Linked DNA regions of Anolis sagrei. The protein of the gene in region 2 interacts with the protein of the main gene of each other region in a biochemical or structural test. Links are inferred from orthologs where the notes say so. Each region holds a gene or a part of one and is shown on either strand. Other genes may lie near its edges.

Region 1 (7,297 bases), on a different chromosome or scaffold from region 2:
AATCGACATATATAAATGCAAACACGCATATATACACATATACACAGATATATACACACAAAAAACACATATACACAGACTGGGCCACAGCAGCGTGTGGTAGGGGACGGCTAGTCTATATAAATAAAAAACTAATGTTTGTTTGTGGGACTAATTTAACATAACTCAAAAGCCACTGGGCGAATCGACACCAAATTTGGACACAATACACGTATCAGGCCAACAAGTGACCATCACTCATAAAACACTGAAAAACACAGCGGAAGAGACTTAAAAAGCCAAAAATAAAAAATATATTACAATACATGTGCAAAACCACATATATACGCAAACACACTCGTATATATACACATATACACAAATATATACACACATATACACACAAAACATGTATACACAGGCTGGCCACAGCAACCCGTGGCAGGGGACAGCTAGTTACATATATAAACACAAACACACATATATGCACATATATATATTTATTTATTTATCATATTTATATACCGCCTCTCTCAGCCCAAAGGCAACTTGAGGTGGTTTACATTCGACAGTCAATGCCTCCAAACAACATTAAATACAGTTAAAAACATTACATATAATATAAACCGTATAAAAGCAATAAAAGCCATAAAGTCCTCAGCGTCTCATCACTAAAATCATTTTTCTGTTGCATCGTCCAATCGTTCGGTGGATCTCAATTAGTCTGTTACACTGTGTCTGCAAATGCCTGCTCAAACAGCAGCTCTTTTGAAATGTTAGGAGGGAGGGGGGCGATCTACTATCCCTAGGGAGGCCATTCCATAGTCGAGGGGCCACCGCTGAGAAGGCCCTGTCTCTCCCTGCCAATTGCATCTGCGAAGGGGACGGGACCGAGAGCAGGGCCTCTCCAGACGATCTTAAGCACCTAGATGGTTCATAGGGAGATATGTATAAACATACACACAAAACACATATACACAGACAGGGCCACAGCAATGTAGCCGAGGGGCCACCGCTGAGAAGGCCCTGTCTCTCGTTCCTGCCAATCGCATCTGCGAAGGGGGCGGGACTGAGAGCAGGGCCTCTCCAGATGATCTTAAGTGCTTCATAGGGGGAGATACATAAACACACACACAAAACACACATACACAGACTGGGCCACAGCGACGTGTGGCAAGGGGCGGCTAGTGGGAAGATAAAATGAAGAGTCCCATCACACGACTCTCTTTCGAAGTGTTATATCCCTAGGGAGGGCGTTCCATAGCCGAGGGGCCACCGCTGAGAAGGCCCTGTCTCTCGTTCCCGCCAATCGTATCTGCAAAGGGGGCGGGACTGAGAGCCTCTCCAGACAATCTTAAAGTGCCTAGATCAGTGGTTCTCAACCTTCCTAATGCCGCGACCCCTTAGTACAGGTCCTCATGTTGTGGTGACCCCCAACCATAATGTTATTTTTGTTGCTACTTCACAACTGTAATTTTGCTACTGTTGTGATTCATAATCTAAATATCTGATATGCAGGATGTATTTTCAGTCACTGGAACAAATTTGGCACAAATACCCAATATGCCCAAATTTGAGTACTGGTGAGGTTGGGGGTGATTGATTTTGTCATTTGGTAATGCTGGAGTTGCTGGGATTTATAGTTCACCTAAAATCAAAGAGCCTTCTGAACTCCACCAATGATGGAATTGAATCAAACTTGGCACACAGAATTCCCAAGACCAAGAGAAAATACTGGGAAGGTCTGGTGGACATTGACTTTGAGTTTTTTGGAGTTGTAGTTCACCTACTTGTAGAGAACACTGTGGACTCAAGCAATGATGGATCTGGATCAAACTTGGCACAAATACTCAATATGCCCAAATGTGAACACTGGTAGAGTTTGGAGAAAATAGACCTTGTCGTTTGGGAGTTGTAATTGTTGGGATTTATAGTTCACCCACAATGAAATAGCATTCTGAACCCCACCAACGATAGAATTGGACCAAACTTTCCACACTGAACCCCCATGACCAACAGAAAATACTATGTTTTCTGATGGTCTTTGGTGACCCCTCTGACACCCCCTCACGACCCCCATGGGGGTCCCAACCCCCAGGTTGAGAAACACTGGCCTAGATGGTTCTTAGGGAGAGATACACAAATACACACACAAAACATATATACACAGTCTGGGTCACAGGGGATGGCTAGTGCAAAGATACACACTTTCACACAATCCCTTATCAGCAGCTATGTCAATGCAAGCACCCCATAAACCAGGTATGGGCAAACTTGGGCCCTCCAGGTGTTTTGGACTTCAACTCCCACAATTCCTAACAGCCTACCGGCTGTTAAGAATTGTGGGAGTTGAAGTCCAAAACACCTGGAGGGCCCAAGTTTGCCCATAGCTGCCATAAACCAAGGGCAGGATGAGTGGGGGCTTGCATCTACTGGGTTTGCACTTGCACACACTGGAGTGGATGGGGAAAGTGGGTCCTGGGGGTGAGAAATGGGGAGGAGACCCATTTCCAAGGCCAGGAAAGCCAGGGCAAGAAGGCGAGAGGGAAAGGAAGGGAAGGGCCGAGCTTTGTCCAGCTTGAGAAGGCGGGGAAAGGGTGAGACAATGGGGTCCAGTCCCCTTTTACCTGGTAGATGGCGGCCCAGCTGTCTGCCTCGTCCATCCGGTGGAACTCCTTCTCGATCTCCATGCTGTTGGGGGGCCAGGCCTGGCCGGCCCCCTTCTTCTTCTTCTCTGCTCCTGCCTCTTCTCGTTCGGACCCTGGTTTTTCCTTCTCCTCCTCCTCCTCTTCTTCTTCCTCCTCCTCCTCTTCTTCCAGCCTCGGCTCTGCCTGCCTGCTCTGCATGGAGAGGCGCCTCCTCTTCCTCCTCCTCCTCCTTCTTCTTCTCCTCCTCGGCTCCGCTTCCCTTCTTCCTTCCCTTCCTTTCCTTCCTTCCTTCCTTCTCTGGCTTTTCCCAGCCCACGGGAAACGACGCACGCGGCTCGGAGGAGGAGGAAGGGGAGGAGAGAAGCCCGGCCTCCCGGAGAGAGAAGCAGCAAGAGGAGGGTTTAAGAGAAGGCTGGGCTTCTTTGGGAGGAAGGGAACAGGGAGGGCCAAGAGCCACTGACGCCACGCAGCCGCAAAGCCAAGGCGTCAAGAGCGCCTCTGGGCATGTGCAGACTGCCCACTCTCAGCCCACAATACTCTACAAGAGGCATGAGCAAGCTTCAGCCCTCGAGGTGTTTTGGACTTCAACTTCCACAATTCCTAACAGCCTACCGGTCAGTATGATCCTACAGCAGGCATGGGCAAGCTTGAGCCCTCCAGGTGTTTTGGACTTCAACTCCCACAATTCCTAACAGCCTACCGGATCATACTGACAATGTGTTGCCCCGGAATAGCAACATTGTCTAGCCCTTTCCTTAGACCTGAAAATGAAGAAAGTGCTGTATACAAAATTGCCTTCCTTCATAATCATATGACATTATTGTAAAAACTCAGCAAAGAGTACAGATACTAAACAAGAACGTTAAACAAGCCACGAGAGTAAAGACAAAGGGTCCTTCCACACAGCCCTATATCCCAGAATATCTGCTTTGAACTAAGGGTCTGTCCACACAGCCCTATATTCCAGAATATCAAGGCAGACAATCTGTGCTGGTACAGCTGTACCAGGAGCTTCAATTCTGTTTGCTTTGCATTAAATGTTTGTTTGCAATCCCAGGCTTGGGCTTTTGCAGCAGGGTGGCTTCCTGTTATAGTTTGCAATCATAAGGCAAGCCACCTGTCAGTTATAGTTAGGTTCCCTGGTCCCACTCCTTTTTGAGTTTTGGAGGGAATAGTAGCCTTTTTGAGTCAGTTCTCACAAAGAAGCCTTTCGCACAGGACATAAAACGAAGAGCTCCTGTAGAAAGCTTCATCTTCTACGGCTTAGCCGGGGAGATATATAGCCTACAGCCTGACTGGAGTTATACAGCCTTACAGCTCCTCTGCTGAGGGACTTCAGCCAGCCATCACAGCAACCTGGACTCCTTCTTTTCCCCTGGAAGTCTACAAAGCTCTGTCTGGTAAGGGTATCTCGCGGAAGCCAGAAGCAGTTGGTACCGGGTGTAGAGGCTCTATGCCAACAGAGGCAAGTACAGACTGCCCAGATTAGAAGTTAAGGATTTCCCCATTAGTTAATTACAGTTAAGAAGATAGTGCCTGTTCCCTGTGGACAAGATTGAGAGAGAGCCAATAGACTGTTAAGAAAGCTTTAAAGTACCTGTTTGTTTTCATCAATAAAGAACTTTGTTGAACCTTTAAGCAATCTAAAGACTTTGTTTTGGGGAGGCCTTTAATCTGAGGCAGACCCGGCGTCCCGTTGGGCACACAGAATTTATGTCCTGTCTACAGTCTTATGCACAGGCCCAGTGTGCGATAGCACAGTGAGTACCTTAAAAACAAAAGAACTAATGAACAAAATTTGGCAGCAAAAGGTCTCACAACACAAGGAGTGACCATCACTCAAAAAATTATGATTTTGTCATTTGGGAGTTGTAGTTGCTGGGATTTATAGTTCACCTACAATCAAAGAGCATTCTGAACTCCATCAACAATGGAATTGAACCAAACTTGGTACATAGAACTCCCATGGCCAACAGAAAATATTAGAAGGGTTTGGTGGGCATTGACCTTGAGTTTGGAAGTTGTAGTTCACCTATATCCAGAGAGCACTGTGGACACAAACAATGATGGATGGACTAAACTTGACACAAGCACTCAATACGCCCAAATATGAACACAGATGGAATTTAGGGAAAATAGACCTTGACATTTGGGAGTTGTAGTCACTGGGATTCTCAGTTCACCTAAAATCAAAGAGCATTCTGAACCTCACGAATGACAGAATCGGGACAAACTTCCCACACAGAACCCCCATGACCAACAGAAAATACTTAAGGCCATCCAATCCAACTCCTTTCATCAGGGCAAGAAAACGTAATCAAAGTCCTCCTGACAAAGAGCCATCCAGCCATAGATATAGATAGATAGATATGATTGACACACAGATATAGTATCATAGATTTGAAAGAGACCCCTAAAGAAGGACAATGATATCTTGCATGTTCCAGGGTGGGCAAACCAGACATTCTCCACATCAACACTGACAAAGAAACAGCAAGAAATACTGTTTATCCACAAGCATAAAGAAATCACATATATTAGAAACCAACACTTTCTCATTACTTTATTTTCGAGATCAACAGACTGGGCTACAGCAATGCGTGGCAGGGGACAGGTAGTAATAATCAAGAATGTTAAACAAGCCACGAGAGTAAAGACAACAGGTCCTTCCACACAGCCCTATATCCTAGAATATCAAGGCAGAAAATCCCACAGTATTGGCTTTAAACTGGGTTATCTGAGTCCACACAGTCATATATTCCAGTTCAATGTGGCACAGCTGGCTGGGAGTCACTGCATTAAGATCACTACTGACCAAAGGGTCATGAGTCCAAAGCCAGCCCAGGTCGGAGTGAGTGTCTGACCAATTTGTGTAGCTTGCTGCCGATCTTTGCAGCCCGAAAGACAATTGCATCTGTCAAGTAGGAAATTTAGGTACCACCTACATGGGGAGGCTAATTTAACTAATTTACAATGCCATAAAAATCTCCAGCAAGCCTGTAAAGAATGAGGAAGTACTTTATCAGTGTCACAAATGGATGGTGAAGCAACAGCTCCCCTGGTGGCCAGAACACCCTCATGAAAAATTGGAATGTTAAATTGCCTCTGTGTCTGTCTATATATGTTGTGTGTCTATGGCATTGAATGTTTGCCATGTATATGTACATTGTAATCCGCCCTGAGTCCCCTGCGGGGTGAGAAGGGCGGAATATAAATACTGTAAATAAATAAATAAATAAATGTAGTCCCTATGTGGACTTGTCCACAGCTGCATGGTATAAACATTAGACTCCTGTCCTTTGCAGAACTTAGCATTTGTTGGATTTTCTTAGGGCACTTCCACACAGCCCTATATCCCAGAATATAGAGTATAGGTTGTGTTTCTTCATCAGCTTCCCTATGTGGTCAGTGGTTCCCTTGATGTATGGTAAGAACAGATAACCCAGTTCAAAGCAGATATTGTGGGCTTTTCTGCCTTGATATTTTGGGATTTAGGGCTGTGTGGAAGGGTCCTGGGTTATCTGAAGGCCTTTTAACATAGTCCTAGATCCCAGAATATCAAGGCAGAAAATCCCACATCATCTGAGTGTGGATTCAGATAACCCAGTTCAAAGTAGATATTGTGGGATTTTTTGCCTTGATATTCTGGGTTATAGGGCTGTGTGGAAGGGCCCAGAGATCCACCCAGGGGAAAAGTGTTCTTACTATAGCTCAAGGGAACCACTGACCGGATTTTCTGGTATTTCCTTTATGGTGCCATAAAATACCTCTCCGCTTAAAGCAGTGCCTAATTTCTCTACTCACAGCACACAGCTGTTTTTCAACTGTTTAGGTGGACAGTAAGCTGGGCTGAAGGTTGGGTGCTCACCCCGACCTGGGCTTCAAACTGCCAACCTTTCAATGGATAAGATCTATTGCAGCTGGTGATTAACCAGCTGTGCTAAAGCCTGTTGTTTTGAATCACACCCTCAGACTCAATGAGCCATGAAATTGACAAAAGAAGCACCAATGTATTGTCCCTGTGTACATTTGCACTGTACAATTAAAGCTGTTTAGCATAATTTTAAGTGTCCTGGCTCAATGCTATGGGATTATGGGGGCTGTCATTTCACAAAGTCTTTAGCTTTCCCTAGCAAAGAGTGCTGGTGCTTCCCCAAACCGCAACTCCTAGATTCCATTGTAATGAACTGTAACAGTTGAAGAGTCATAGTCCAACTCTAAGACCACCATAGTATGCTGATTCTTAAAACAAACAAACAAACAAACAGAGAGACAGACAAATAAATCTTCATTTATATTTCGCCCTATTTCCCCGAAGGGACTCAGGACGGATTCCAATCACAAAAAAAGGCAAACATTCAATGCCTGAACAGAACAAGTAATAGACACATAAGAACAAAAATTAAACTCCACTTACTACTGAAATTCCTGGAAATCATCAAAGACAAGGTGCTGAGGGAATTCACAAAACATTTTCCTGTGGCTTGTTCATTTTTAAAAAAAATCATTTGACTCTATAAGCTGCTAATCTTTGGTACAAAACACACACTTCTCCTGTCTTCCAAAGGAGATGATAAGATGTTGGCAGCCTGGGCCACAGAATGTCCCTGCACTTTATATTATTTTTCTATTCTTTAGGCAGTATCACCATTACAGTCCATAGTGATTTG
Region 2 (7,167 bases):
ACATGGATGGCCGAGAGAGTGATACCTTTGCATTCTGACGGTTCAATGCACATAAACTTTATTTCATGGGAAAAATATTGAAAATACTGTATACATTTACTTTCAGAGTGGGTGTGTAAAGTATAAAGGTTAAGATTTCCCCTTGACATTAAGTCTAGTCGTGCCTGACTCTGGGGGGATGGTGCTCATCTCCATTACTAAGCCGAAGAGCCAGCATTGTCCACAGACGCCTCATTGGTTATGTGGCCAGCTTGACTGCATGGAGCACCATTCCCTTCATATTGAGGTGGTACCTATTGATCTACTCACATTTGCATGTTTTCAAATTGCTAGGTTGGCAGAAACTGGGGCTAACAACAGGAGCTCATCCTGTCTGCAGATTTGAACTGCCGACCTTCCAGTCAGGAAGTTCAGCAGCTCAACGGTTTAATGTGTTGCACCACCGTGGCCCCCAGAAGTGCAGAAGAAAAAAGAAACGGAAACTATAATGTCACTGCCCTCATTGACTATGCCCTGGCATTCCATGTTTTCAAACTGCTAGGTTGGCAGGAGCTACAGCTAACAACGAAAGCTCACCCTGGATGCGGATTCAAACCGCCAACCTTCTGATCAGCAAGTTCTGCAGCTTAGCGGTTTAACCCGCTGTGCCACTGCAGCCCCTTAAAGTATATATGAAGTACATATGAAACAAAAAAAACATTTCAGGTTCAGATGTGGGTTCAATGGCCAACTGTATGTCAACATTGTAGAACGAATGCAGTTTAACATCACTTTCCCCGCCATGACTCAATACTATGGAATCATGGGAGTTGTAGGATGCCATCACTCTTTGGCGGAGACAGCTGGTTAAACTGTATAGCATTTTTAGGCATGTTAATAGGTTTTAACTGTTGATCTAAGTAGTTGTGATGTTTAATCGTATTTTAGTGTTTAGTGGGTTAAACCACTGAGCTGCTGAACTTGCTGACCAAAAGGTCACAAGTTCAAATCTGGGGAGCAGCATGAGCTACCAATGTTAGCCCCAGCTTCTGTCAACCTAGCAGTTTGAAAACATGCAAATGTGAGCAGATCAGTAGGTACCACTTCGGCAGGAAGATGACGGTGCTCCATGCAGTCATGCAGGCCACATGACCTTGAAGGTGTCTATGGACAACGCTGACTCTTCGGCTTAGAAATGGAGATGGGCACCACCCTCCAGAGTTGGACACAACTGGACTTAATATCAGGGGAAAACCTTTACCTTTACCTGTGTTTTTAGCCGCTTTGAGTCACCTTGGGGAGAGAATCAGCAAGGTATAAATAATAATAATAATAATAATAATATCTGATGTGTGATCCAATGCAAAACCCAGCATTGCTGTGTACTAATCGTGTTGAGTACAAAATAATAATAATAATAATAACTGTATATTGTGTTGTTTTACCAGGCATGGGCAAACTTTGGCCCTCCAGATGTTTTGGACTTCAATTCCCACAATTCCTAACAGCCGGTAGGCTGTTAGGAATTGTGGGAGTTGAAGTCCAAAACATCTGGAGGGCCGAAGTTTGCTCATGCCTGTGTTAGCGCTTTGGGTCTCTTTTCAGGCTTTAAATAAATAACCATAATATATAATAACTATAATATATAATATAATGTGTTATATTGTTTTGTATTTTATTCTCATTATATTTTACTGTATGTATTTATGTTGTATATTTGCTGTACCCTTGGGCTTGGCCTCATGTAAGCCACCCCGAGTCTCCTTGGGGATATGGTGGCGGGGTATAAATAAAGTTTTATTATTATTAGTAGTAGTAGTATTTCATGGCCTGGAATCACTGGGTTGTTGGGAGTTTTCCAGACTGTCTGGCCACATTCCAGAAGCACTCTCTCCTGACGTTTCGCCTGCATCTATGGCAGGCATCCTGAGGATATAAAACCCACTTTCTTAGTTTCGAACAAGCCTCACAACCTCTGAGAATGCTTGCCATAGATGCAGGTGAAACATCAGGAGAGAATGCTTCTGGAACATGGCCAGACAGTTTGGAAAACTCCCAGCAACCAATAATAATAATAATAATAATAATAATGACGACAACAACAGCTCTCGTGATTCTATAGAAGGCATAATAAGCATAATAACAACAACAATAATGTCTGATATGTGATCAAATAGACAAGCCAACATAGTGATCTTGTTTTCTGTGTACTAATATTATTGTGTATCAGATAATAATAATAATGATAACTGTATATTGTATTGTTTTACCAGGCATGGGCAAACTTGGGCCCTCCAGGTGTTTTGGACTCCGGTAGGCTGTTAGGAATTCTGGGAGTTGGGAGTCCAAAACACCCGGAGAGCCCAAGTTTGCCCATGCCTGTTCTATAGCATTCTAATAATAGTAATAATAATAATGGGATCTTGTTTGCTGTGTACTAATCTTGTTGTGTATCAGATAATAATAGTAATAATAATAATAACAACAACAACAACTGCATACTGTATTGTTTTACCAGGCATGGGCAAACTTGGGCTCTCCAGGTGTTTTGGACTCCAACTCCCGGCTGTTAGGAATTCTGGGAGTTGGAGTCCAAAACACCTGGAGGGCCCAAGTTTGCACATGCCTGTTCTATAGCATAATAATAATAATAATATCAAGTGATGTCAAACTGCATTCCTTCTACAGTGCAGATCAGGCATGCCATAGTTAAGTTTGGTAGTACTTAGGAAACTCCAAATCCCACCCTCCCTCAGCAAACCCACCTCCTCCCTCCCGCAACGTGTTTCCTTCCTGTGTTCCCGTTCCCAGCCCTCAAACTGACGGGAAAGTCCCTCCAAGCTTTCCTGGAAGCCATGCCCCTCGTTGCAGAGGAGCAGCAATCTCAGAGGTTTGCACTCTGCACATGCTTTGCCTCCTCTCCAGCCTACCTTTCCAATCCCCTCCGCCGGGACCGAACTTCCCTTCCGCTGGCTCTCCTTCCCCAGCGCCGCCTGGCTCACTCTCCAAGCCCTGCCCCAGCTGCTGGCTCCCGGGGAGTCCCGCCCCCTCGGCGGCGACACTGATCGAAGCCGGCCAATCGCCGCCGCGCTCTGAGGGTTCTTCGGCAGGGGGCGCTCTCCGGCGGCCAATCAGCGCGCGCCTCCGCTTTCACTCTTCACCGGGCTGTTCCGGGCTCGGCTTCCTCCTCCCGCTGCTCTTCTGGAAAGCCAGCTGAGTTCCGGGCAGTGTGTGACGTCGGCAGCGCTGCTGTTGTCTTCGCCCCGGAGGGCGGGGGCGTGTGTGTCTGACTGTTTGGAATCCTTAGGCTGCTCCTGATTGGCTGAGAGGAACACATAGGGATGAGTGGGCTAGGCAGTGGGAGAAGGGCTTTCATGTGCACCTAGGTAGCCATCCCATCCCCTTGTGGAGCCTAATAATAATAATAATAATAATAATAATAATAATACAATACTATATAATCTATATAAACTCAAAAACCACTGGGGGAATTGACACCAAATTTGGACACAAGACACCTAACAACCCAATGTATGTCCTCCACTCAAAAAAAATGATTTTGTCATTTGAGAGTTGTAGTTGCTGGGATTTATAGTTTACCTGCAATCAAAGAGCATTCTGAACTCCACCAATGATGGAATTGGGCCAAACTTAGCACACAGGGCTCCCATGACCAACAGAAAAAACTGGAAGGGTTTGGTGGACATTGACCTTGAGTTTGGGAGTTGTAGTTCACCTACATCCAGAGAGCACTGTGGACTCAAACAATGATGGATCTGGACCAAACTTGGCACGAATTCTCGATATGCCCAAATATGAACACAGATGGAGTTCGGGGGAAATAGACCTTGACATTTGGGATTTGTAGTTACTGGAATTTATAGTTGAACCAAACATGGCATACAGGACTTCCATGACCAACAGAACACACTGGAAGGGTTTGGTGGGCATTGACCTTGATGGAGTTTAAGGGAAATAGACCTTGACATTTGGGAGTTGTAGTTGCTGGGATTTATAGTTCACCTGCAATCAAAGAGCATTCTGAACTCCACCAATGGTGGAATTGAACCAAACATGGCATACAGGACTTCCATGACTTCCATGACCAACAGAACACACTGGAAGAGTTTGGTGGGTATTATTATTATTATTGTTATTATTATTATTACTACTATTATTTTACTGACACAAAAATACAGTATGTCACAGCAAATGATGTATTTCCGAATGATGCACACAGATCCAAGTAAGGTGGCCTCTGGTGTTGCCGCAAGGAGGTCCTCCATTGTGCATATGGCAGGGCTCAGGGTGCATTGCAGCAGGTGGTCTGTGGTTTGCTCTTGTCCACACTCGCATGTCATGGATTCCACTTTGTAGCCCCATTTCTTAAGATTGCCAGAGCGCAGTCTGTTCAGCACCTTCCAAGTTGCCCAGTCTTCTGTGTGTCCAGGGGGGAGTCTCTAATTTGGTATCAGCCAGTGGTTAAGGTTCTGGGTTTGAGCCTGTGACTTTTGGACTTTCACTTGCTGAGGTGTTCCAGCGAATGTCTCTGTAGATCTTAGAATATTTCTTGATTTAAGTCATTGACGTCCTGGCTATACCCAAAGAAGGGATGAGCTGGAGATGTCACTGCCTTGGTCCTTTCACTATTGGCTGCTACTTCCCGGCGGATATCAGGTGGTGCAATACCAGCTAAGCAGTGTAATTTCTCCAGTGGTGTAGGGCGCAGACACTCCGTGATAATGCGGCATGTCTCATTAAGAGTCACATCTACTGTTTTAGTGTGGTGAGAAGTGTTCCACACTGGGCATGCGTACTCAGCAGCAGAGTAGCATAGCACAAAAGCAGATGTCTTCACTGTGTCTGGTTGTGATCCCCAGGTTGTGCCAGTCAGCTTTCGTATGATATTGTTTCTAGCGCCCACTTTTGGTTGATATTCAGGCAGTGCTTCTTGTAGGTCAGAGCACGGTCCAGGGTGACTCCCAGGTATTTGGATGTGCTGCAGTGCTCCAGTGGGATTCCTTCCCAGGTAATCCTCAAGCCCCCCCCCCCCCCGGGCCGGCTACATGCCTGTTCTGGGCCTTTGGCCCTTGCTGAATAGGGTTTTCTCAGAATTGTCTCCTAACTTAATCTTCCAAGATCTACCCAAATTCTCTGTACTGTGACCCAAGACAGAGAGAATACAAGAGAAAGGAGGAAGTTGTCACTTTAGTCTCCTCAGGGCAGAGGTGAGTGAGAGATGGCTTGCAAGATTAGGTGGTAGTTTCTTGCTCTCCTTGCTCTGAAAGACTTCCCATTTTATTTCCTTCTCAGCTGGAGGGAACTGAGTTTGCTGCTTGGCCCAATCCCTGTTGCCATGTCACCCAGAAGAAATGTCACTGCATAAAAGAGAAGTTGCCCTTGGCACAAAGAACTGCCTTTGCCATTTCACTGCCCCTCCAATGGCAAGGATAGGATGGATCACAGAGCTGAAATCAAGATGTCCCACAGCAGCAATTCCCAAACTTTTTTTTGGTCATGGAACCATTCAGAAAATGTTTTCCCCCACAGAACCCTGATTTTCCTGCAGAACCATAACTCTGTGCCTAAGCACTGTGAACCCACAAAGTGCTTCTTTGTTTCATCTACTCCTGTTATCTGGTTGTTTTGTATATTGTAGGTTTGAAAACTAAGAGATCCAAATTTCACTTTTACAGCAGAGGTATATTGAATTGAAATAAGATCTTCGTATTCTGGCAAAGATTTTTAAATATATTTTTTAAAGATTTGAAATATTTTTGGATATGGCTCCGGCCCAGCTTACTTATCCAAACGTATCTCTCTCTACGTTCCGCCTTGTAGTTTAAGATCGTCAGGGGAGGCCCTGCTCTCGGTCTTACCAGCTTTGCAAACGCATTTGGTAGGGACGAGGGACAGGGCCTTCTCGGTGATGACCCCCTGCCTGTGGAATTCGTTCCCCAGTGAGATCAGGTCGGCTTCATCCCTCCTTTCCTTTAGGAAGAAATTAAAATCATGGTTTTGGAACCAGGCTTTTGGCCAGCAGGCGTGACAGCACCTTGGATGTCGAACTGGACTACATGGTTGTGATAATGATATAAATGGCTATATGATTATGATAATAATGTTTTAACTGTTTTAAATTATATTGTTTTATTTATTGTTTATATTGCTGTTATAGTTGTCATATTGTTGCAGTATCAAACTGTTGCCAGTGTAAGCTGCTCTGGGTAGAAATGTAAATAATAATAATAATAATAATAATAATGCTTTGTTGGAACCCTAAGACTCCATGGAACATAGTTTGGGAACTGCTGCCCTAAAGTATTCCAATTTTAAGGGGTCCCATTGTAGCAAAGGGCCCCTTGTGGCGCAACAGGTTAAACCACTGAGCTGCTGAACTTGCTGACTGAAAGGTTGGTAGTTCGGATCGGGGGAGTGAGGTGAGTTCCCGCTTTGAGGTCCAGCTTCTGCCAACCTTGGAGGTCGAAAACATGCAATTGTGAGTAGATCAATAGATACCATATAGTCATGCTGGCCACATGACCTTGGAGGTGTCTACAGACAACACCAGCTCTTTGGCTTAGAAATGGAGATGAGCATCACCCCCCAGAGTCGGATATGACTAGACTTAATGTCAGGGGAAGCCTTTACCTTTACCTTGTAGCGTTACCCAAACTTGTAGCTTAGGGTTGTTTGATATTAATTTAATATCTGTAAGTCATTTAAGTTGTGAGTAAACCCAAGGCAAGCAGGTCAAAGTATCTGTCCTATACAGATTCTGGGAACTGCCTTATGTCAACTCAGCAATAGTATTTCTATCCAGGTATGGTGGCTCTCCAAGGTTTCATGCCAAGGGCTTTTCCAAACTGATGTGCACATGGTTAAGACAGAATGTGTGACCTCAACCACAATATTAACTACAGCCCTTCCCATTTTGCTGGCTTAGTCTCTCACAACATCCCAACCCCATTAAGCAGAGAAAGAGAATGAATGGGATTTCCAGTTCATTTGCTCTACCTTTCTCTGAGTAATGCAGGAAGGCCACGTCCTCCTTCCGACAATGCTAAGACGAGAGACAGTAAGTCAGTAAGAAGTAAGTGGCCACTGCCAATCCCCATCTCTGAGTATTTTTGCTTGACACAGTCCTTAATGTGCACTACTGTTATGTGTAGAGAGGGAGGACCCTAT

The links.
Region 1: of the proteins of STAT3 (region 2) and PTPN1, one has a biochemical effect on the other in vitro, tested with the Homo sapiens proteins (2 studies listed by BioGRID and IntAct). The link is inferred for Anolis sagrei from reciprocal best matches to the Homo sapiens genes STAT3 and PTPN1.

Annotation. Positions count from the first base shown.
Region 1 is NC_090024.1:222,417,883-222,425,179, reverse strand, and holds the start of PTPN1 (tyrosine-protein phosphatase non-receptor type 1), read right to left. Parts: upstream 3,011-7,297; 5' UTR 2,826-3,010; coding exon 2,607-2,825; intron 1-2,606. UniProt on the Homo sapiens protein: Tyrosine-protein phosphatase which acts as a regulator of endoplasmic reticulum unfolded protein response. Mediates dephosphorylation of EIF2AK3/PERK; inactivating the protein kinase activity of EIF2AK3/PERK.
Region 2 is NC_090026.1:36,809,230-36,816,396, forward strand, and holds the start of STAT3 (signal transducer and activator of transcription 3), read right to left. Parts: upstream 3,023-7,167; 5' UTR 2,910-3,022; intron 1-2,909. UniProt on the Homo sapiens protein: Signal transducer and transcription activator that mediates cellular responses to interleukins, KITLG/SCF, LEP and other growth factors. Once activated, recruits coactivators, such as NCOA1 or MED1, to the promoter region of the target gene.